4 linked regions of the Arabidopsis thaliana genome follow. The protein of the gene in region 1 purifies or fractionates together with the protein of each later gene. This does not show direct contact. Each region holds a gene or a part of one and is shown in the gene's direction. Other genes may lie near its edges. The genes, in order: MAA3, AT1G32730, AT1G06790 and AT3G49000.

Region 1 (7,560 bases):
GCTATTTGATGAATAGGTGATTGATCTTTGTGCATTAAGTAGCTGTTCTACGTTTTGGAGAGAGTTATGTGGTTCTGATATCTTATGGGAACCTCTGTTTAGGCAAAGATGGCCTTTATTGTCCTCATTTGAATCTGATGGAGACAATACTCTGTTTCTTTAAACCCAAACCAATGAAAATTCTCAGGTAGAAATGAGACAGTTCCATGGATTCTTGTTTCTTTCAAATTCAAGTTTCTGAGTTGTTTTAGATTTTGGCCATTTTTGTAGGATAGTGAGTTTGTTTGTTGTTGAATTGAATTCTATTTATGATGAATTGGTTCTCATTAGATGGATGATGTTTGATTGACATGGTAGAGAACAATTGTTTAGTTGAGATATTTAACAATTGTTCTGTCTTGGAGAAACAAATTACTGAGGCATATTGAAGGTGATGTGATTCTTGATATTATCTGCTTTAATTGTGGATAGTTGGATTATAGAAAGCTTGAGACTTTTTTCTTGAAGAGGTGATAGTTGGAATTGGACATGGTCATCATAATCGTTTATATATCTCAACTTGCAGTTAGACTTTGCTTGTTTATAATTTGTTGTTGTGGCAGAGACTAAAATTCTTTGTTGTTGCGTTAGCATTACTTTGAGGTCTATTACAGGTTTCATGAATAGTCTATTTTAAAGCTTTTGTAGGAATGGAGAAGATTTTATGTGATGCAACACAAGGAAATGGCATCAAGAGCTTCCGAGGTGATTAAATATGTGACTAAGTCTCCTGCTACGTTGTCTTTAGAGGCAGGTATATATCTGCACGCGGTTGAAACCATGAGCTCGATGCGGTTTGGATTTCAAGATGTGGAGTTATTTTTCTTCAAACCAAACTTAAGTGTGCTGCTCAACCTCATTGGACTCATTTACTGCATACAACACTTGAAACCGCGGGTTAGTTACTCCCAGAGAAAGTCGACCGGCCTTTCGGAACATTTTCTAACTTCTTTAACATTTTCTTTCTGCAGCGAGAGCAAGTCGTGGATGTGCTAAGGCAATGTGGAATCTCAGAGCAGCTAGTTTGGGTGAAATGGTTAACGTTAGGTCGATGGTCAGGTGGGAGTCGAATGAGAGACGACATCGTGTCGCGTCAGGTCTCTCTAGTCGATGTTGTAACAGGGAAAGAAGAAACGGTTCTACGAGTGCTTCAACGAGGAGTTGTTCACGAAGTTCTACGTGTTTGTATCTCAACCGTTGATCTTGCCTGTGCACCTTGCAGCAGTAGCACCATCAGAAACTACTAAACTGTTTCAAGGATTCGAGGATTACAAGTTGAATTGGATTCAATGAATGTGATTAAACATGTGATATTGAAACAGTATTGAAGTTCGAGTAAATAATAACAACGCGCAATTCAAATGCAAACGATTGTATGGAGAATTAACTGTAAGAAATTCGCGGTAAAAAAACTGAAATTATAGGATTCATATATTGGGCCTTAGTATATTTTCGGCCCATTACCAAAATTATCTTAAACAAGTTTGAGTCCTAAACCCTTTTCTCCGGTTACAGCTACACCGCCGTTTTCTCTCTCCGCCGTCTTTTCTCTTCTTCTCCGACTGGTAAAAATCCTCTCTCCAGAACTCTGGTCTCCCGTTATATATATATGCTCGTCTACATTCTCCAATTGCTTCTCGAGTTCTTAGCTCATATCAGTCACATGTTGTTCTCTGTAAATTCAATTCCCTAATTTCAATTTGAAATTTTCTCTGTTGGTGAAAAGGCTCTGCTATTTGATTAGGTTGATGCATAGTAATTCGATTTCGAAACTCTGCTTTTAATTCCATAGACTATATAATGGAAAAGATGATGATAACAAGTTACTTGACTGATGATTATACAATCACATTATGCTTATGCTAAAGTTTTTTTTTTTGTATGTTCATGTAGAATCTGTGAAGGTGAATTTCGGAGTTGAGAAAGAGAGATTAGCGTGTAATGGCGATCGATAATGGCAAGCTTCAAGAAGAAGAAGCCTCATCTGTTACTCGATTCTATAACATTATTTTGGGTTGGGACTATAAACAGCTTACTAAAGAGAATGAGGTACTTCATCATCATACAACAAACTCCGTTTCTTCTTAGGCGAATGTGAGATTTGTTTTTCTTTTATCTTACTGTGTATTATGTAATGCAGAGGAAAAATAGAAAGGATTCTAAAGAGAAATTGAATGTTGTAAAGAATACTTATAAAGATGTTGATGATTATTTCGAGACTTTTGAACCATTGCTCTTCGAGGAAGTTAAAGCTCAAATTTTGCAGAATAAAGATGGTGAAGAAGGTTAGATACATAGAACTTAAATACAATTGGCTTTTTTCTTATTACTTTTGTCCATCCATTGATCATGAAAGAAAGTGGCAGTTGTTATTTTCAGCTATTAAAACTAAATTTGTATACTTGTAGTAAGGTTTTATGTTTAGATAACTAGTTTTTAACGTATTTGGTTCTGGTTGTGGAAATGGTTTTTTCTGTCTTTTTTCCTCTTAGCATCGGTGTGTAAAATGAGATTGGTAATGGAGTGCAACGAGGGCGAAGGGTTTCACTTTCTGTTAGTCACATACGAACATGAGGAGGATGAATATCTTGCTCAAAATGATCTTTTATTGCTATCAAAAGAAGAGGTACATATACTATTCCTTTGTTTTTGTTTGATTTTCCGAGGGTGTTGTATGACTTGCATTTCTGATTTTGTACTTTCTTGTATAAAATTTTCATTATCGAATGTTGGATTCACTTAGAGATTAACTTTTGCAGGTTAAAGGGAATTCATTTCCTTCATCTTATGGGTTTGCTGTAGTGGAACATCGTCAAAATAATCTTCTTCGTCTTCGGATGTATTTAGCTGAAGACATTGTGCAGATAACCAAGAATACTAAATCCTCTAGAACAAAGTCATTTATCCAAGCGCTTTCAAATATGCGTTCTCTTATTACATCATCTGCCAGCCCTATTGACAAAAGGGTATTCAGTTTAAAGGTCAGTTGTTATGAGACACAGCAACTATGTATAGTTATTATATCATTTGTTTTTTTCCATAAATTGGATGATAAGCCTTAATAATGTGGTCTAGTTTTAGGTTGTGTTATGCTAGCTTGGCTTCTCTTTTCTCTTTCTTTTATACTTTAATACTAGTTAGAATCTTAATGAACTTAAGCGACTGTTGTTGACATGATACATATCCTTTCTAGATATAATATAGTTCCCTTCTCTGATACAGCGTCTTTCATGGATGGTTTGTTAATTTGTAGTTATGTGGTTTATCAACCATTATTCGGGAATATATAGCACTACGATCAGTTAGTTCGCTCCCTTTCAAGGATTTAATCTTCACTGCAGCAGAAAAATCTTGTGGTTTTGGAGATGAAGCATGGAAAATATCTGGACCTCTGAATGAATTCTTTAACGAAAACCTTAACAAATCCCAAAAGGAGGCAATTGATGTAAGTCTAGCCTTGTAAATTCTTTCCTTAGAGACTTTGACAGTTTCCCTAACACAGATTTGGGCTCTTTGTTTCAAAATACAATTTTGCAGGTTGGTCTATCAAGAAAATCCTTCGTCTTAATACAGGTTGACTTCTCCACTTATAATTGTTTTATTGTTTCTTGAGGACTTATTACTTAGCTTTTACATGTTAAGATTGCATGTCAAAAACACAATCATTTTCAATGAGAAAGCCCTCAATTGACATGAAATTAAAATTCTCCAGCATGCTTACTGAGCTAGCACTCAAAGTCTTATATTTGACTCTCAAGATTGCCTTTTAAAAATATGCAGATGAAAACCAAAATTATTCTAAGTTGGCATTTTTTAGATCTTGTTGACTACATGAATATGAGAAACTTCTTTGTCAAACTGTATTGGCAGTCAATAGGGATATAACAGACTTGTTTTTCAAATTGCATTGAAAAGCAGATGAATTAATCTAATGATTTGGATACTAATGAGTCTATCCTTCTTTAGGGTCCTCCAGGTACCGGGAAAACTCAGACGATTCTTAGCATACTTGGTGCTATTATGCATGCTACTCCCGCAAGAGTCCAGTCTAAGTATGATTTCTTACATGCTATCCTTTGACACTCACTTGACTATGTGCAGCTCCGAGTTAAGATTATAACTATGCTTTGCATTCTGAAATTCCCTTTTTATTTATAATAGGGGTACAGATCATGAAGTAAAGCGTGGTATTCAGATGACTATCCAGGAAAAGTATGATTTTGCTCCCATTAAGATCTTTTAAATATTTCGATACTCAGTTCTCTCGCATACCCAGATGTGTGTTCATAATGATTCGAAAATGTTATTATTATCTATATCATATGGTGTTTTATTTGAAATCTTGCAACTTAAGAGTAATTGGAATAATATTGCATTGCATCAATAGTTTGGTCTGAAATATCACATACCATACATCCCTCTTGTTGAACATATTTCACTATGTCTTGTCTGCAGATACAATCACTGGGGAAGAGCCTCTCCTTGGATTTTGGGTGTCAACCCTCGAGATGCTATTATGCCTGAAGATGGTGACGATGGGTTCTTTCCAACCTCAGGAAATGAATTGGTAAGTCGGAAGATTTTATTCTGAGACAAATGGTAACCCCACATTTATTTCTTTTATCATATAGTAACCCCACTTTTCTGATTCTCTTTTGATGTTCAGAAACCGGAGGTGGTTAATGCGAGTCGGAAGTACAGATTACGTGTACTTGTCTGTGCTCCATCAAACTCTGCACTTGATGAGATTGTGTTGCGGCTTCTGAGTTCGGGTATGTGGTTAATCCAATTCATTATTTCATTATTTGAAAATTGGTAATGGTCTTATATGTTATGGTTTCTGCACTCTCAGGTCTTCGTGACGAAAACGCCCAGACATATACACCCAAAATAGTACGAATTGGTCTCAAGGCTCATCACTCTGTTGCGTCAGTATCACTGGATCACCTTGTATGTATCTAGTTTCCTTTACAGTTTGATTGCCTTTCGTCCTGGCTTAATTTTGGTTGCTTGATTTAACTTTATTAAAGAATGTTCAACTGGGAATCTATCTGTCTTCAGATAAGTAAAGGTCTGTTTAAGTATATTCATTCGGAGGAATCACACTTGTAGAGAACAAACAACGAAATAACAAAGTTTGTTGACAAATCTTGCCTTTGGGTACTGTTCTGACAACACTCTTTTGCAGGTGGCACAAAAGCGTGGCTCTGCCATCGATAAGCCAAAACAAGGGACTACAGGAACTGATATAGATAGTATCCGCACTGCAATTTTGGAAGAGGCTGCGATTGTATGGGGATTTAACTTTCGTATTAATGTAATTCAAAGCTTTTTTATTTTTCTTCCCTGAATCACCTACTTCTGTTTCTTTGCACTTTCAGGTGTTCGCTACCCTTAGCTTCAGTGGCTCTGCACTTCTTGCTAAATCTAACCGTGGTTTCGATGTCGTTATAATAGATGAAGCTGCGCAAGCTGTAAGCCCCTTCCAATAGAATATGGACTAATGCTCGATTTTTTTTGCTTAGTTTACACACTCTAAATGTCAGAGGGTTTTACTTTAAAGTGGAAATAATAATGCTTTGTTTTTTAAAAACTTTCTCATGGCATGTCATTACATTAAATTGAGTCATGTGTTAGCCCTGACCTATGTTGAAGTGTAAAGAAAATTTTAATCCTGGTTCGTCCTAGTCAGAGTCTGTCATGTATCTTATAAGTAATTGTTTTTGCTACGCAACTTAAAAAGCTTATGCAGGTAGAGAAATTTTTAATGCTTATATTCCCCATGTTCATTGCTAATGAAATTTACTCTTGTGTACTTTGCCAGGTTGAGCCAGCAACTCTTATCCCTTTGGCCACTAGGTGCAAACAAGTATTTCTGGTAAGATCCAATAGGTTACCCTTCATGTATCAAAATTGCAGTTAGTTTCCGGGTACATAAAATAAGTAGATGATTCGACACACACCATCAGTAGCTTCAAAGAATGAAGCATGCCTTACTTTTTTTGAAATTGAAGAATATAGATGTTAAAATAGTTGCATCTTGAAACTGTAGATGTTACAGGCAAGCGCAACACCATAAGTTTATGAGTTAATGATTAATGTTAAAGGCAACTTTGGTAGCTATGGATATCCTTATGTAAAATCTAATTTTATCAGGTAGGGGATCCAAAGCAACTCCCAGCTACTGTAATCTCAACTGTTGCTCAGGATTCTGGGTAAGTGCTTTAATCCAGTCATTGCATCCACACTTTATCTGTTTATGTCTCTCGTGTATATTGTATTGACACTATTGGATTGCTGTCTTTACTTTCTATAATGAAGGTACGGTACAAGCATGTTCGAGAGACTTCAAAAGGCTGGCTATCCAGTAAAAATGTTGAAGACCCAATACCGGATGCATCCAGAGGTACGGACATTCTTTCATCTAGCATCCACCTAAGACAGATTCTCACTGAATATCAGATTTCTTAAAGAATTATCATCAGTTGATACCTATTTCACAAACCAAGCCAAAGATTGTAGTTAGCTTAATTCTTACTCCAATGATTGCATCTTATTTTACCCTGCAAACAATTTTTTTAACTGAAAATCAGATAAGAAGCTTTCCGTCAAAGCAATTCTATGAAGGGGCACTAGAAGATGGATCTGACATTGAAGCTCAGACTACTCGTGACTGGCATAAATACCGGTGCTTTGGTCCATTTTGCTTTTTTGATATACATGAAGGGAAAGAGTCTCAACATCCAGGAGCAACTGGTTCTCGGGTAAATCTAGACGAGGTGGAATTTGTTCTTCTCATCTACCACAGACTTGTAACCATGTACCCGGAGCTGAAGTCTAGTTCTCAGCTAGCTATTATATCACCGTATAACTACCAAGTAAAAACTTTCAAAGATCGGTTTAAGGAGATGTTTGGTACAGAGGCAGAAAAAGTGGTTGATATCAACACTGTTGATGGGTTCCAGGTCAATATTCTACCCTCTTTCTCACAGTTCAACATCAATTGTGCTCATAAACAAATTAAAATGCATTAGATTCTGCTTTTATACTAATCTAAGAACTTGAACCGTAGAATTGTACTTACAGTCCAAAGTTTTCATCCATTTCTTTTTCGTTTTTTTCCTCATCTTGATGAAAAGGGAAGGGAGAAGGATGTTGCAATATTTTCATGCGTCAGAGCTAACGAAAATGGACAAATCGGTTTTCTCTCTAATTCTCGGCGGATGAATGTGGGGATTACACGAGCCAAGTCTTCAGTATTGGTAAGGCATATAAAGAAAACTTTCATAGAAACGATTCTCTAACTTTTTCTCCATATATTTATATACCCTCTCTCTGATTCTATCTCACTGATCCATTATCCATTGAAACTTGCTTATCAGGTCGTTGGTTCAGCTGCAACATTGAAGAGCGATCCACTTTGGAAAAACCTTATCGAAAGTGCTGAGCAAAGAAACCGATTATTCAAGGTAAAAATAACCTTTCTTTCCGTTTGTGTTAAAAGTGTCAACTGCTGCAACA
Region 2 (4,447 bases), on another chromosome or scaffold:
AATAATTTTGGAAGACTTTGAGTTTTAAGATCTTTCTTTTGTTAAACCAGATTTGAAAAGAGCTTTATATTATCTTTGATAAAACTAATGAAAATGTTGGTCTAAATTAACTATTTGAACTTGAACCTTTTAATTTTTATCTTTTAGAATTTTAGTTTATTTATTTAATATTGATATTTTGGACTTGTATTGTTTAAATCATTTTTTCTTTAATATAGTTTTATGTTAATGTTATATATATATATATAATGTTATATATATGTATAAATGTGTATACGTTTCCAAAACGTTTCCAATCCCTAATTTTAAGAAAAAATCGTTTCCCGTTTCCGAAACGTTTCGTATCCGCATTTCCGTTTCCGTTTTCATGCAACATAGATTATGCGAATGATTGCAATTTACAAGTAACAACTTGAGAGATGTACGTTCACTATGTCGCGAAGAATTGGTGAGGAAATCTTTCGTAATATTTTGTTATCCAATGGTATTTATCTCGATTGTAATCGTTAAATCATGAATGGATGGTTAAATATTTACCAAATAAATAAAAAGAAGAAGAATAATTAAAATTTATATATTGGTGAGCAAATATTATTATTCCGATTAAATTATACTTTTTAATTGTTGTTTTGTAAAATTGTTCAGTTCTGTTTTGTTTTGTAGTCTCTATTATCATCAGAGTTGTTTAGTTTGATCGTCGTGTGGACTCTTGACAGTCCTCATAGTCTACTAAATCTAAAACCAATGATAAATCAACTAATTAATTAAATAATCATGTCTATAAAGTATAAACTATATTTTTATGTGTTAACCCATCCAAATCTGCAAGTCCATACAAATTGACTCTAAATATATTGAAGCTGCAAAATCAGCCAAGTACAAAATTGACTCTAAGTATATTGAAGCTGCAAAATCAGCCAAGGTTACGCAATATAATCATATAGCGATCGATGCATCAGAATAATAAGTTAGAAAGCGATATCAATTGCAAAATAGTATAGAGTAGTATAAAAATATGAAAACACTCTGAAGTTGAATGCACCAAAATCTAAATGCATTGTTTTGTCTGCCAAATTGACTTCTATCTAGAAGCTTCTAGTGTGAAGCTCTGATACCACTTGTAACGTCCAAATCAAAGCTTCGAGTTACAAGTCAATTAGTAGAATGATTTATTGTTTTTGTTTCTTTTACTTATGAAAAGACTCTAAAGCAAAGCGAAGGAAGAGATGAGGAAGAAAAAGATTTGCCCAAACGGCAAACACTAAATTATTTAGATTGATGTTCTATTGTTCATATGAACAATAACGTCTATATATATGTGAATCTGATTCGATAGAATAACCTAATTACTTGGGCTTTTTTTGGGCTTATATTGATTTATCTGACAAGTCTGATCCCGGATAAAGTTCATGATTTGGTTAAGTTCGGTTCAATTTAAAGAGAAATTATATTGGGCTTTAAAACCCAGGCCCATATAAAAACGACTCACGTGGTATTATTAATAACCGGAGCCCTAGACCCGCCGTGAAATCGAGCGATTGAGAGCACTTCGCAAAATCAGAGCGACAAAAAAAAATAAAAACCAATCCTTTCGATTCCAAATTTTTTGTTACTCACTCGCACGAGTTTTATTTGGTCGTTAGTTATCTCTTTCGTTGAATAACGGTTTTAATTTAAACCGTTACTTTTTATCAATGGCGACTTCGTCACCGTCTCTGAGTAACAATGGTCTTTCCTCCGTCGTCACGCCTCCCAAAACTCTCCGTGGTCTCAATAAGCCTAAGTGTATTCAATGCGGCAATGTAGCTCGCTCCAGGTATTGCTTCTACGCATTGTTTCATCGAAGGACTTAGGTTTTTTACATCTGGGGTTTCGATTTATGGATTGTTCTTGGGTTTTTGATCTGAAAGGATTCGAATTTGTCTTGTATAGTACTTTTTCGTTTTGATTTAGGGTTCATAGGTTTGTGGGTTTGGGTTTTTATTCATGATTTGGTGATTAATCTGTTGGAGATTGTTTAAAGTTTTGAGCTTTAGTATCGAAAGATCAGTTTTTTGAGATTATTGGTGAAGTAATTGTAATTGTATTGCTTGGATTTGATAAATGCAGGTGCCCTTTTCAATCTTGTAAGGGTTGTTGTTCAAGAGCAGAGAATCCCTGCCCGATTCACGGTATGTTTGCCCTGTCAAATCTCAACTTCATAATTAGCTAAAGTGATCAGTTTTAGAGTTTAGTGTTGATAACTTTGATTGGAGAGTTCTATTCTTTCACTTGGTAAGTTTAGAGTTTAGTATTCTTGACTTCTATAGGGTTCGTTTGGTTGTCTCGGGACAAAAAAACCTATAAAGAACCATAAGACTGATTCTTGGAATGTGCTTGTGATTAGCTGAGAGATATAGAGATGTTATCATGGACTGTTTTGTGTTTCTTCTTATGTGTTTTATTTCGCTGCAGTTCTTAAAGTAGCTTCAACGTCTGGTGAGAAGACGCAGGCGCCAAGTACTCCATCTTCAGAGCAGAAAGCAACCGAGGGCACTCCCGGGTACATATATATAAACTAATTTTCTGTTTTGTTTGTGCTTCCATGGGCAAGTGAATCTTAGATGATAAACCGGTGTTTGCTTACTAATACTTTGATAGGAGATTCTTCAGCTTTCTTGTTTTATTGCACGTAGTTGATAGTGAGATGATATATTGGTCTTGTGGAACTAAAATATGGCGCTTTATGTTGACGTTTTCTTCTTTTGGAAATTGTTTCAGGAGTACCACTAGAGTTTCGTCAATCCGGCAACTTTCTAGCAACTTTGCTCAGTTTAATAACCTGAATGCTTCTTCCCGCCAGAGAAAACCTTTGACGATAAAGGTATACTAATTAAGACGTCTTTCATTGACTTTAGTACTCTATGAAAAATCTCCATTTAGTTGTTTTCCTCTTATCAGTTTTTGTTCTGTCTATATTCTATAGGATGCTCAAGCTTTAAACGAGTGGCGGTTTACAAAGCTAAAAGAGTACAGAGACAGAAACATTGAAGTAGAAAATGAAGCTTTTGATCGGTACATGAGTAATGTGAATTTACTCGAAGAAGCATTTTCATTTACATCTGTTCCTGATGAAGAGAGTCATGGAACAGCAGCTCCTGAGCAAAACAAAGAGGAAAATATTGTTTCAGAGCTTAAACTGAGGCTGAGATCGAACTCTGCAAGAACAGAGAGCTTTAAGAAGCGGATCGCGGAGACAGTCAAAGCCGGTTTGGTGAAGCTTAAGAGACTGGATTTAGGCAGTTCTTCAGATGATCAAGATGATATCAAAAGGCGGGTCAAAAGAAAGAAATGGGAAGAGAAAGGTTCAGCTTTGAATGAAATAATCGATAAACTGAACAAAGCAAGAACCGAAGAGGATCTCAAATCTTGCTTAGAGATGAAATCAAAGCTCTGTGGTCAAGTTTCTCCCACTGCTGCTTCCGAGAAGAACAAGATCTTTCCGGGTGTAGTCCGAAAAGTTGAGATGAGTGAAGAAGCACTTCAAAAAATCGCTGAGAATCTCCAATCTTTTGACAAAGTTGGAATGTTGTGAAGTCGAGAACATCCTGTGGATGAACTGAAAAGTTTGAGTGGCAAGAAAATTTCTAGATCCTTCGTGACCACGGTATTGTACAATGATCAAACATCCCTCAAAACTGATCCTGAAGACTCCAAAGACTCAAGAGATTCTTGTAAAGTAGTGTTGAGCATCATTTAGATATTAGAACTCAGCCATGGATAAAGCTGTTGATTCTATCTCATTGGATTTTTTTCACTGTGTGTTGTTGCTTTGTTAGATTTGAAATTGCTCATTGGATTACCTTTGACTTAATAAATAGTTGGTTTGGTTTGGTATTGGATAACCGCTCAGTCTAATTAGACCGGTTTGTTTTTTTGGAAAAAAATGAATCCATCCATCCATAGGCCACTTTCAACACGTATATTTGAAAACGACTAAAACCAAACTCTTAGATTCTAGTTTTGTTTTGCTGCCCCAATTCCACTATTGATCAAAACATATCCAAAAGTTTTTGTGGAACTAAAAAGTAAAAATAACGTTTAGTTTGTTTCCAATTTCAACCATATATATCTTATTCATATATGCATGTTGTGGTTGTCTCGTGTGTGTAGTATTCATTTACATTATGCAAACCAACTGGAAACATGTTGAATGGGTTATGGGTTGGTGGTTGGGACTTGAGGATCAAACAACTCAAATGAGCTCATTATAAGTTAAGCTCTCAATAATCATTAATTTATTTTTGTTACCACCTAATATTTCTACGAAGGGTTGGTGTAACAATTTTTAATTGTAAGATAATTGTGTAATCATTTTCAATATTAATTTTTATTATGTATTTATTTTAAAAAGTTATATAATACGTAACACATTTAGTACTTGGTTTTGGTAGCTTCATCAATGTAC
Region 3 (4,433 bases), on another chromosome or scaffold:
TGACAATGTTTTGGCTTCTTCAGTCGTTGTTAACTCTACGATATCTTCATCAAAGGTATCATGCATTTCTTATACAAATTTCTACTTGGTTATCATTATATGTTATACCTAATTTTAGAGTGTCTTACACTATATCTTCTCATTTACTTCCGCCACTTATTAATGTGGCTTCTGATTGCTGTTTGCAGGAGCCAGAAAGAATAGTCTTCCATGTCGTGACTGATTCACTTAATTACCCAGCAATCTCAATGTGGTTTCTGCTAAACATTCAAAGTAAAGCTACTATCCAAATCCTAAACATTGATGATATGGATGTCCTGCCTAGAGATTATGATCAATTACTGATGAAGCAAAACTCTAATGACCCAAGATTCATTTCTACACTCAATCACGCACGCTTCTATCTCCCGGATATATTCCCGGGTTTGAACAAGATGGTACTCTTGGACCATGATGTAGTTGTTCAAAGAGATTTAAGTAGACTGTGGAGCATTGATATGAAAGGAAAGGTGGTTGGAGCTGTAGAGACTTGTCTTGAAGGTGAATCTTCATTTCGATCAATGAGCACATTTATTAATTTCTCAGACACATGGGTCGCTGGGAAATTTAGTCCTAGAGCTTGCACATGGGCTTTCGGGATGAATCTAATTGATCTCGAAGAATGGAGAATACGGAAGTTGACTTCTACATACATAAAATACTTCAACCTGGTACGCTATATACACACACACACTCTACTGCACTTGCTCTCCCTATGGAAATAACACTGTAGCCATATTCAAAGTTTTCAAATGGGTTCTTAGATTTGTTGATTCGTCATTATATATGAAAAAGATTGTAATAATTATTAGGTTTTAGGTTGGCTATATCGAGGATGAAAGGTTTTGAATTTAGAACACAAATAACATTGCTGTAACTAGCAAAGAACATAAGCAAGCTAGTGCTAAAGATCATCTCCTAGAAGAAGAATGGTTACAAGCAACAACATATCTTGTCTATGTAATGGGCGTAAACCTAACAATGGTTTTGGGGAATTTGTTTTTTTGGCAGGGAACAAAGAGACCATTGTGGAAAGCTGGGAGCTTACCAATAGGTTGGTTGACTTTCTATAGGCAAACATTAGCATTGGACAAGAGATGGCATGTGATGGGGTTAGGTCGCGAATCAGGAGTCAAAGCGGTTGACATCGAACAAGCGGCAGTTATACACTACGATGGGGTCATGAAGCCGTGGTTGGACATTGGAAAAGAGAATTACAAACGTTACTGGAACATACACGTCCCTTACCATCACACCTACTTGCAACAGTGCAATCTTCAAGCTTGATACGAAAAAAAAAAAAAAAAAATCTGGCAACTTAGGTTCAGTTTCAGATTCTTTTTGTTAAACAAGCTACTCAAGCATGATATCAATGTTATGATTAGCTTCATTCTTTATCCCACATCAGTGTATATCTTGGTTCTTCTTTTTTCACACTTTTCATCAGAGCTTAATATTACTTAGACTATAGTGACAGGCTGACAGCAACAGATTGTTGTCATACCTTGGACTTGGCCCAATTTCCTTTTTTGGCCCACCGGTATGAATAAAAAGAGTGCGGTTTTCAGTTCGGTTCGGTTTATAAGCGTAACGATGACAAACCGATCGGTTTGTTTTAATTCTTGACTTTAATAACTAAACCCTAAATCGTTCTTCTTCTTCCGCATCTTCCTCACTCGATTAGTAGGTTCTCTCTTCTTCCAATCTATTCCCAACTTCTCACTTTTCCGTCTAATCGTTGTCTTCATCACCATCTCTCCGAGTTCCCTTCGAGACCATCTTATCTTCAATGGTTTAGGTATTGCCCGATTTTAGATAGTTTTGTTCTCTCGTATAGTTATGACAATGGCAGATTTTTGTACGCTCTGCACATGCTTAATCTTGAGGATTGGGCTATTATTACGTACTATGATTTAATGAATTTTAGATTTGAATTTTGGAACTTTTGATGATATGCATGTTAATGACCAAGAATGCTCCGAATTTGTCTGATTCGTTATTCGAATTCTACTTCTTTGATTGTTTGTTTCCAATTTTCCATGCATCTGACTTGTGAATTTTGAACAAAATTTTCAGAAATGTTTTATCTTAGCGAGCTAGAACATTCACTAAGAGTGCCTCCGCATCTACTTAATCTCCCTCTCGAAGATGCCATTAAGTCAGTGCTTCAAAATGTGTTCTTGGACAAGGTTTGCTCATTGCCCTTTTTCTTTCACTTTTATGGTATCCATTGTTTGCTTATTTATATACACACCTGGCTAATTTTATCAAAGTGGATTTTTGCTATGAAAGGTTTTAGCTGATTTGGGGCTTTGTGTATCTATTTACGACATTAAATCAGTAGAAGGAGGGTTTGTGTTACCCGGTGATGGTGCTGCGACCTATAAGGTATATCCAAATTGCTGATCTTTTCTCATCTCTATTCTTTTATCAGTTGAACATGGTTTTTTATATCAATTTTATGGCCTCCCAATGTCACTGTTAGTGGCATCATTGTTGACCTATCACCGTGTATTGCACACTTTCTGCACTGTATTGAGTTACATCTTTGTAGACTCATCATTACCGTACTAGAGTTTCAAACCATTCTGAGATTTTGGTTCTTCGGAATCGTTATCTGTTAGTCTAACTTTCACTGTACGGTTTTGGTTAAGAATTTTATTTTCAAAAGTTTTATCTTGCCTTGATTCAATATCTCATGTCGTGTTGTTAATACTTTGTTTGTGTGATTGTAGGTAGGTCTTAGAATTGTTGTGTTCCGTCCATTTGTTGGTGAGGTCATAGCTGCAAAGTTCAAAGAATCTGACGCCAATGGCTTGCGCTGTGAGTACTTTATTATACTGTTCCCTGAAGAATTCCAATGTTGTGCACTGTCTGCATCCTGCTACTCTAGTACATTGTTAGCTTATTAGCTACTTATGAATTGGATTAATACTTTGAAATCATGGATATGGTTAATCATTTACATGCTTACGGTACCTCTATACTTGGCAGTAACACTTGGATTCTTTGACGATATTTATGTGCCTGCTCCACTTATGCCGAAACCCAACCGCTGTGAGCCTGACCCTTATAATAGGTAAGAATATGTGTCCTGCAGTTTATGTAGTACTACCAGCTCTCCAACTATGAGTAGGAGATTGCACCAACATCTTTATATATCATTTGATCACAAAGTATAATGTTTTTTGGTTCACAGGAAGCAAATGATATGGGTGTGGGAATATGGAGAACCGAAAGAAGACTATATTGTTGACGATGCCTGTCAGGTGAATTTTTGGTTCCTGCATGTATCTTTAAGCATAATTATCTGAATGTGGTATGTTTTTATAACGAGGCATTGTAAATGGCAGATCAAGTTTCGAGTAGAGAGCATCAGCTATCCATCAGTTCCAACTGAGCGAGCAGAGGACGCAAAGCCTTTTGCTCCAATGGTGGTCACTGTAAGTTCATTCATCAAACTCATTCTCTGAAACTTTTCCACTTGTATATGCATTATAAACAACGCTAGTTAAGTAAGGTCAGATAAGCCTCCTGATTCCCTCCTCTCTTATAGATACTTAACTTTTATTTTGAGACACCATGATTTTTTGTTTTGGTTTTCCTACGTCGGTCCAGTGGTCAATCAATCTTGTGTACTGCGCAGGGGAATATGGATGATGATGGTTTGGGTCCTGTTTCTTGGTGGGATTCTTATGAACAGGTTGATCAAGAAGAGTGAGTGACCGAAACAGGTGGGATTCTTATGAACAGGTTGATCAAGAAGGGTGAGAGACCGAGACTTAGTCTAGGCATTGTCAGATGAAATTTTAACAGATGATGATCAAGCCAGTTTTGATGAAAACTTAAAATTTATTTTAAACTATGCACGGGTTTTCACTAAGATAGGGACGTTCAATTTTGTTTATCTGTAATGTAAAAAGGCAATGACACAAATTAGGAAGATTAAAAACCAAAAAAAAATCGATAAATTACAAGAGTTGTGATGGATGATGGAGTTGGGTGAGGAGTTGATGTATGTCAGGAGCATGTTGATCATCTGCACGGATGCGATCAGGTTGAATCCAACGGCCGTCAGTGTTCCTCACCATCCCTTTGTTTGCGTCTTGGCGCCAATAAGGAGGGACCATGAAATGGTCTTTCAAAAAATCAGATGCTTTGTTCACTAACGCTGGATCTCTCCCACTTGATAACACAAATCTCTGTCCTTTCCCATGATACCTATGTTTTTTTAAACAATAATCCAGATTCATCAACTCATACTAATACTATTATGCTCTAAACGACAAATTTATTTCCTAGTAGTTTTCGATAATTAAATTCTCTCCAACCTACCCATGAAAGAAAGAAGTGCCACGTAAATCAGATTACTAAATGACCCCATTATTCTCCAT
Region 4 (5,901 bases), on another chromosome or scaffold:
GCACCGTCGTCCGGGTGATTAACGAGTTCCGTCGCTGAGTCAACGACGGAATCTGAATCCGCAACGGATAGTACAAGGTCCGAGCCAGCGTCAAGCAGCGTAGCGGTGACGTGAGAGATTTTCAGCTTTGAAGCTGCTTCTTGAGCCGGTGCGTTTCCTTCTTTAGAGGTTAACAATAGCTTTGAATCTGAATCGGAGAGGTAAAACTCAAATTCCTCCGCCGTGTACGCTGCGTTCAACGGCGCCGCCGTGGCTCTAGCTCTTATCACCGCTAAAAACATTATAACAAACTGAAAACAAAAAAAAAAAATCAAAACCAAATTCATCCAAAAAAATCATCTGAATCCGGAAATCAAAATTTCTCAATTAAGAAGCGATTTACAGATATTCATAAATTCTGCTTCCCATGTGATTCTTCAGCACGCAAAACAAAACCAGAAACGAAGCTTTTAAATCGAAATATATGAAAACCTCTTAAAATACCTCGACGGTGTTAGGGAAGGTGAGAGCAACGACATCGCCGGGTTTGATTCCAGCGTCGGAGACAAGGCGTGAAGCGGCGCGTTCGATTAGATCGTGAAGACGCGCGTGAGTGAGATTGAATTTTCCAGAAACGGAGAGAGCTCGGCGATCGGGGAATTTTTTGGCGACGTTTTCCAATAATCCTGAGAGAGTATCGCTATCCATGGTTACGTCGGAGAGATAAACACGAGAGTAACGATGATGAGGAAGGAGAGAATGTGAAAGCAGAGAAGAGAGCAAATGCGATATTTATAAATTTATATTCAATTACTACAGTATCTGTGGAAGCAAAAAATGGCTAAAAGATGATGCCACGTGTTATCATCGTAGCGGATTTTCTATTGATCGTGTGGTCATAATGTTTTCATTTTTAATTATTTTGTTAACGGTGGGAGTCGCTGATATATATCCTTACGATTAGACCGACGTTTCGGTTTTTGAAGAGGTGGTTTTTTTAATTTCGATTCCGGTACAAACACTGAACCGAAACGGCTAGTTAATTAACTTTTGAAAATATTTTTTTTCGGCAAGCATGCGATAGTAATTTACGGTTTATGAATTATTTCATAGGAATTTGAAATAGTTTGTGTATGTATTATCAAACAAAAGAATAGTTTCATTAAAAAAATAGCCTATGAGTGTTTAATCACTTTTAGGGCCTTTGCACATGTGTCTTTGACTAGGATTATCACGTTTCGAAGATGCTTGACGTTGTTTATACTTTATATTATAAATAGAAGATAACGTCCTTATTTTGATTGTTAATAAATTAAATTGACCAAGGTAAAAATGTAAAATTAAAATAAGAAATGGTAAAAATGACTTTGAATGATAAGAATAAATATATTATTTATAGAAAAAAAGTAGAAGACTAAATATAATGAGACATATATCTTTTTGAAGTAATCAATTTTGTTTTGTCTATACATACAAATTATTATATTATTTTATTTGGTTTGATACATGCACACTATCTAACTAAACAATAGTGGATTTGGATAATTATTCAACAATGAAACTAATTTAAACCACTAAACATGCGTAGCTTAGAAGAGAGTCAGAGTAGAATTTACTAATCAAAGATTTAGTTTACCTTGTTATTTGTTAAAGATTAAAATTATGTATATGATTATGAATAGAAATACAAAAATCTCGTATAGATGAAAACGACAGTGTTTTAAAATATAAGTCATATTCATGAAGCTGAAAAAGTCATTTTCCATTCTCCTAACTAAGTAAAAACATGGTCTTCATGTAAGCCGTCACATACAAATACAATAGAAGAATTTGGTTTGTGTTTGTTCTTCTTAAGTAGAGCATTGTCATCTGGCCCAATCATTGAAAATTCTCAAGTACATTTCGTTCCATCACTAATTTTTTTTCTTGGGTCAAACCATACATTCAATTTATTAGGGCCTGATAGGCCCAAACTTCTCTAGGCCAACAATTAATAACCTACAATTAGGGATGTTAAAATGGGCTAAATATTTAAGGCCGGCCCGAGTCCTTATAAAAAACAAAAGCCCTAGCCCTGGGTTGGTGTTTTCTTATACTTATATTGGTGGGTTCATGTTAGATTATCGAAATTTTGGATTCGAACGTGTGGATCGCTGGAAAAATTAAACTTTAGGGTCGCTAGATTACGATTGCTTCGCTTTTTAGTAGTAGTAGGCTACAATCGATTGGCAAACATCTCTATATCGGCCATAACTCCGTCAAGCTCTGCAGAGGCTGCTTCATCAGTATTGAGAGACTTCCTGGTGATTGATTCTCATGTCTATGTCTGAGTTTGGCATTGTCTACGCCATCCATATCATCACCGTCCAATTCGGCTCCGTCGTCTCGGTAAATTGAGAAACCCTTCTGAGACTTGTGTTGAATTTATAATCTCTGTATAACGAATTTGGTTTTGGTTGCAGAAAGTTTGTGAATGTCTTCTACGTAAAGGACCTCTTTCCTCACGAGACATCTCTCGTTTAGCTGAATCAGATATCAACCATAACAAAGTTAAAGATATTCTCTATCTCTTGATTCAGCACAATTGTGTTCAAGCTTTCTCCATTGAACCTCCTGGTTAGTCTCTATATTGTTTGATTAGTAGCAACACACAGAAATAGAGAACTCAATGAAAGTAATTTTGTATGTTTTTTTTTTTTACTTTGTAGATGGTTCTGAGAGCAAAGCTATTGTACAGTATATTGTGTTGTTTAACAACATTCTGCATCGTGTGAGGTATAACAAGTTTTCGAGGATTGTAAACGAAGAACTTGACTCCAAGGTTTAATCGTGCTTCTTCTTCTCTCTGTTCAGTGTTTTGATTAGTTGGTTTATGCTTCAAGACTCTAATGCTAATCTTATACTTTTGTTTGATTTATATGTTTAGTGCGGTGCAGTTCTTGATGGTTTACTTAGTAACGGTAGGCTTACCTTGGGACAGTTTATTGAAAGAGATAGAGGTGAGTCGTGATATCATATGTACCTCTTATGTTATGTTACCACAGTTTACACTCGTCATCGTAGGCATTGGCTTTTGGCCTTTGTGTATCTCGTTTTGATTACAGTAATGCTTCGAGCGGAATGGATTCCATGCTGTTATATATGTTTTCTTCATACATGATCAGATTCAGGAAATACGATAGGTTCTGAAGCAATCAGAGATTCTCTTCAGAAATTGGTTGCTGCCCGTTTTGTTGAGCGCATTCCTTCTCCCGAACCTGTTCTTGGAAACAAAGAAAAAGAGCCGGCAAAGAGAAGAGGCGCTAAAGCTGCCAAGGTAATTGATAATTTCTTTCTGGTGTTTGGTATACCTATACATGGTCTGATATATCAGACCTACAAATTGCAGAGACATGACTCTCAGTTTTGATATTATTTCTATTCTGTTCGATATTAATAAATCTCTTGGAACGGTGTAGATTCTTAAAGAACCAGAAACCTTGGAGGAACAAGTTGTTGAAGCAGCAACTCCAGTTGACGCAATAAGGTTTCCACTTATATTCGAAGAAGATTCCAATTCATCTTTAGCAGATGACAATAGCAACATCACTGAGGGGAAGGTATCAACATTCGTACCATAACCAATCTTGTAATCATACATTTTTCAATGATGTAGCTCTGAATACCTTTGTTGATGTTTCTCATTGAACCGAATATTTTAGCGTAAACAACGTGATGTGGACACATCAGATTCGAGCAGTGGAGTAATTTGGCGTCCTAATTTTGAGGAGTTCATCCACCGCCTTAGACATAAGGTTAGTTATCCGTGTTTCTCTTTTGAGGTTGTTTGATGAGGAAAAAAGCTCATTGGCATTTCAAATTTTGCTTTCCGAATGTCTTACTGTTCCAATCTATTAACCACTTGTTTCTTTGTTTAAGGCGTGTGTGGAGATAGTGAAAGAGCGCCGGGATGAAGGATGTGCCATTGTCTTGAGGGCAATGTTAGAAGTAGGAAGATCGCAAGAGAAGAAGGTGAAAACAGACAATTCGGGTAATATTTGAGTTTCTCACTCATTTTCATTCAATATCTTAACATAATCATAATATGCTGAAGTTAAAATTGTATTTGGTGTGAATTATTTTGCACTCTCCACCAAAAGTCCACCTATGAAGTTCTGTTAACTGAATTTGCTATAATCTTTGAAACAGCTCCAATGTCAGTTGGTTCCATTTATGAAGAAGTTATTAAGACAGAAGCAGGTCGCACTATGTTACAAGAGCGAGTTGAAGCATGCCTTGACCAATTGAGTGCTACGTCTTCTTATCTACCAGCATTTGTGAACGAAGTGAATGATTCATACATAGTTGGTATAGTAACTCCATTCAAAATCTAGTCAAATGATTCTTGTATTCAAAATAATATTATTTTGTTATTTGGTTTTGCAGATTATAAATCCATTATCAGCGTAGCACAGAAAGATGAGGTGCGTTTCATATTTTTCTTTTCTTGATATATTTCTGAAACTAAAAACGGTATCTTTGAGATGTTTCCAGATAGAGGCAGTAGTGATGAGAAGATATGGGAAAGAAGCTTTCAGAATGTTCAGATACTTATCACAGGAAGGGCGTTTTGTTGAGACCGATAAGGTTAATGACTGTTCTTTATGATTCATATAGAAACATCTTAAGTCATAATGATTTCTTAACTTCATCATTTTTTTCTCTCTGTAAGATTGCTGATGCCGCGCTGACTGAAAAGAAAGATACACCGCAATTCCTTTTAAAGATGTGGAAAGACGGATACTTACATATGCAGGTATTCACAGTTTGGAAACCAAATCATTATCAAAAGTAAAACGAATTGGTTGTTACGAGATTCATTGTTGTTATCTTCTGTTCATTTTTGTAGAAATTGGCGGTCACAGCTCCGGGTATGTATACACCGTTTCTGTTGTGGAAGGTAAACAAGTTGATTGTGACAACTCAAATGTTGGATGAGATGTACCATGCGTCCCTTAACTTGAGTCTTAGGTTGGCCCATGAGTTAGAAGCCGAAAAAGAGGTTAGTCACACTGCAAATCGATTAACCCAAATGTGTTTCAAGATGGTCCAGATACTAAAAAAACTGTTATTGCTTTTGTGGCAGTTGCTGTTGTTGCCATTAGATAAACTGGAAGGACCATTAAAGGAGAGACTGAAAAAGGTCAAAGCCAAGAGGCTGTTACTCTCTTCCACTATGTTTAAACTTGATGATGCCATTATGCTTTTTCATGACTTTTAAACTCATACATTCAAAAACTAATTTCTTTTGGTCGATTTAGTTCACATTGTCTTCTAGCATTTTTTTTTTTTTTTTTGACATAATGAGAAGTTGTAACTTTGAAGGTAATTGATACTGTTTCGAGAGAAATGTTGTTTATTATATACTTCAGATTAAGTTTTCAAACTCTTAATCTCTATCAGAAAACCTTCTTTTCCTTTACTATGGTCTATGGCTGATGAGCTTTGGGATGAATTGCAAAATCGGGTTTTGGTGATACAGAGTCTAATGAAGCCTAATAGTCGTCCAAGTCTGAGTTTGAAAAAAAAAAAAAAAAAAAAAAAAAAAAAAAAAAGAGTCGTTTAAGTCTGATTGCCTGACCTCTCAATCCTTCAGTGCAACAGCTTCAGACAGTTCATGGAAAAGTGTTCTCTTCTATCTGTCCAAAGGAGAGATCGATGGGTTTTCAATAATCCGGAAGATATGAAATAATATTGATGTAAACATCATAGACATGTTGAGAACTCTCAATCTCAGAATTCTGACATCTCTTTCCCAACCTCCCCTGCCTGATACTCCTCCACTCAACTATGAGCAAATAGCAGTTGGCTACTCCCCTTCAATATGTTCAATCTTCTATACAAAGGTTTCTTTACTCAGGTTGCTGCACCAATCCCACAAGT

What was found.
Region 2: the proteins of MAA3 (region 1) and AT1G32730 fractionate together in Arabidopsis thaliana (co-fractionation; one large-scale study listed by BioGRID). This does not show direct contact.
Region 3: the proteins of MAA3 (region 1) and AT1G06790 fractionate together in Arabidopsis thaliana (co-fractionation; one large-scale study listed by BioGRID). This does not show direct contact.
Region 4: the proteins of MAA3 (region 1) and AT3G49000 fractionate together in Arabidopsis thaliana (co-fractionation; one large-scale study listed by BioGRID). This does not show direct contact.

What each region holds. Positions count from the first base shown.
Region 1 is NC_003075.7:8,891,063-8,898,622, forward strand, and holds the start of MAA3 (P-loop containing nucleoside triphosphate hydrolases superfamily protein), read left to right. Parts: upstream 1-1,544; 5' UTR 1,545-1,604; intron 1,605-1,909; exon of another isoform or gene 1,910-1,932; 5' UTR 1,933-1,980; coding exon 1,981-2,088; intron 2,089-2,179; coding exon 2,180-2,324; exon of another isoform or gene 2,325-2,531; coding exon 2,532-2,665; intron 2,666-2,798; coding exon 2,799-3,020; intron 3,021-3,292; coding exon 3,293-3,484; intron 3,485-3,576; coding exon 3,577-3,612; intron 3,613-4,005; coding exon 4,006-4,091; intron 4,092-4,200; coding exon 4,201-4,251; intron 4,252-4,494; coding exon 4,495-4,606; intron 4,607-4,705; coding exon 4,706-4,811; intron 4,812-4,891; coding exon 4,892-4,989; intron 4,990-5,227; coding exon 5,228-5,329; intron 5,330-5,420; coding exon 5,421-5,513; intron 5,514-5,863; coding exon 5,864-5,917; intron 5,918-6,195; coding exon 6,196-6,254; intron 6,255-6,360; coding exon 6,361-6,445; intron 6,446-6,632; coding exon 6,633-7,004; intron 7,005-7,178; coding exon 7,179-7,301; and 3 more. Other genes in the region: AT4G15563 (F-box-like protein), read left to right, coding at 688-936, 1,011-1,286. UniProt on the Arabidopsis thaliana protein: Probable helicase that may regulate RNA molecules involved in nucleolar organization and pollen tube guidance.
Region 2 is NC_003070.9:11,839,383-11,843,829, forward strand, and holds AT1G32730 (electron carrier/iron ion-binding protein), read left to right. Parts: upstream 1-1,527; 5' UTR 1,528-1,694; coding exon 1,695-1,816; intron 1,817-2,109; coding exon 2,110-2,171; intron 2,172-2,454; coding exon 2,455-2,542; intron 2,543-2,760; coding exon 2,761-2,863; intron 2,864-2,965; coding exon 2,966-3,574; 3' UTR 3,575-3,926; downstream 3,927-4,447.
Region 3 is NC_003070.9:2,085,528-2,089,960, forward strand, and holds AT1G06790 (RNA polymerase Rpb7 N-terminal domain-containing protein), read left to right. Parts: upstream 1-1,654; 5' UTR 1,655-1,837; intron 1,838-2,115; 5' UTR 2,116-2,117; coding exon 2,118-2,228; intron 2,229-2,331; coding exon 2,332-2,427; intron 2,428-2,774; coding exon 2,775-2,862; intron 2,863-3,033; coding exon 3,034-3,118; intron 3,119-3,238; coding exon 3,239-3,308; intron 3,309-3,392; coding exon 3,393-3,482; coding exon of another isoform or gene 3,483-3,512; exon of another isoform or gene 3,513-3,685; coding exon 3,686-3,760; 3' UTR 3,761-3,920; downstream 3,921-4,433. Other genes in the region: GAUT6 (galacturonosyltransferase 6), read left to right, coding at 1-55, 189-710, 1,051-1,326; PLA-I{gamma}1 (alpha/beta-Hydrolases superfamily protein), read right to left, coding at 4,011-4,260.
Region 4 is NC_003074.8:18,160,608-18,166,508, forward strand, and holds AT3G49000 (RNA polymerase III subunit RPC82 family protein), read left to right. Parts: upstream 1-1,952; 5' UTR 1,953-2,295; coding exon 2,296-2,367; intron 2,368-2,441; coding exon 2,442-2,595; intron 2,596-2,687; coding exon 2,688-2,800; intron 2,801-2,905; coding exon 2,906-2,978; intron 2,979-3,143; coding exon 3,144-3,295; intron 3,296-3,437; coding exon 3,438-3,578; intron 3,579-3,680; coding exon 3,681-3,773; intron 3,774-3,897; coding exon 3,898-4,009; intron 4,010-4,167; coding exon 4,168-4,326; intron 4,327-4,404; coding exon 4,405-4,442; intron 4,443-4,512; coding exon 4,513-4,605; intron 4,606-4,690; coding exon 4,691-4,774; intron 4,775-4,867; coding exon 4,868-5,020; intron 5,021-5,104; coding exon 5,105-5,239; 3' UTR 5,240-5,379; downstream 5,380-5,901. Other genes in the region: AAE3 (AMP-dependent synthetase and ligase family protein), read right to left, coding at 1-290, 484-687.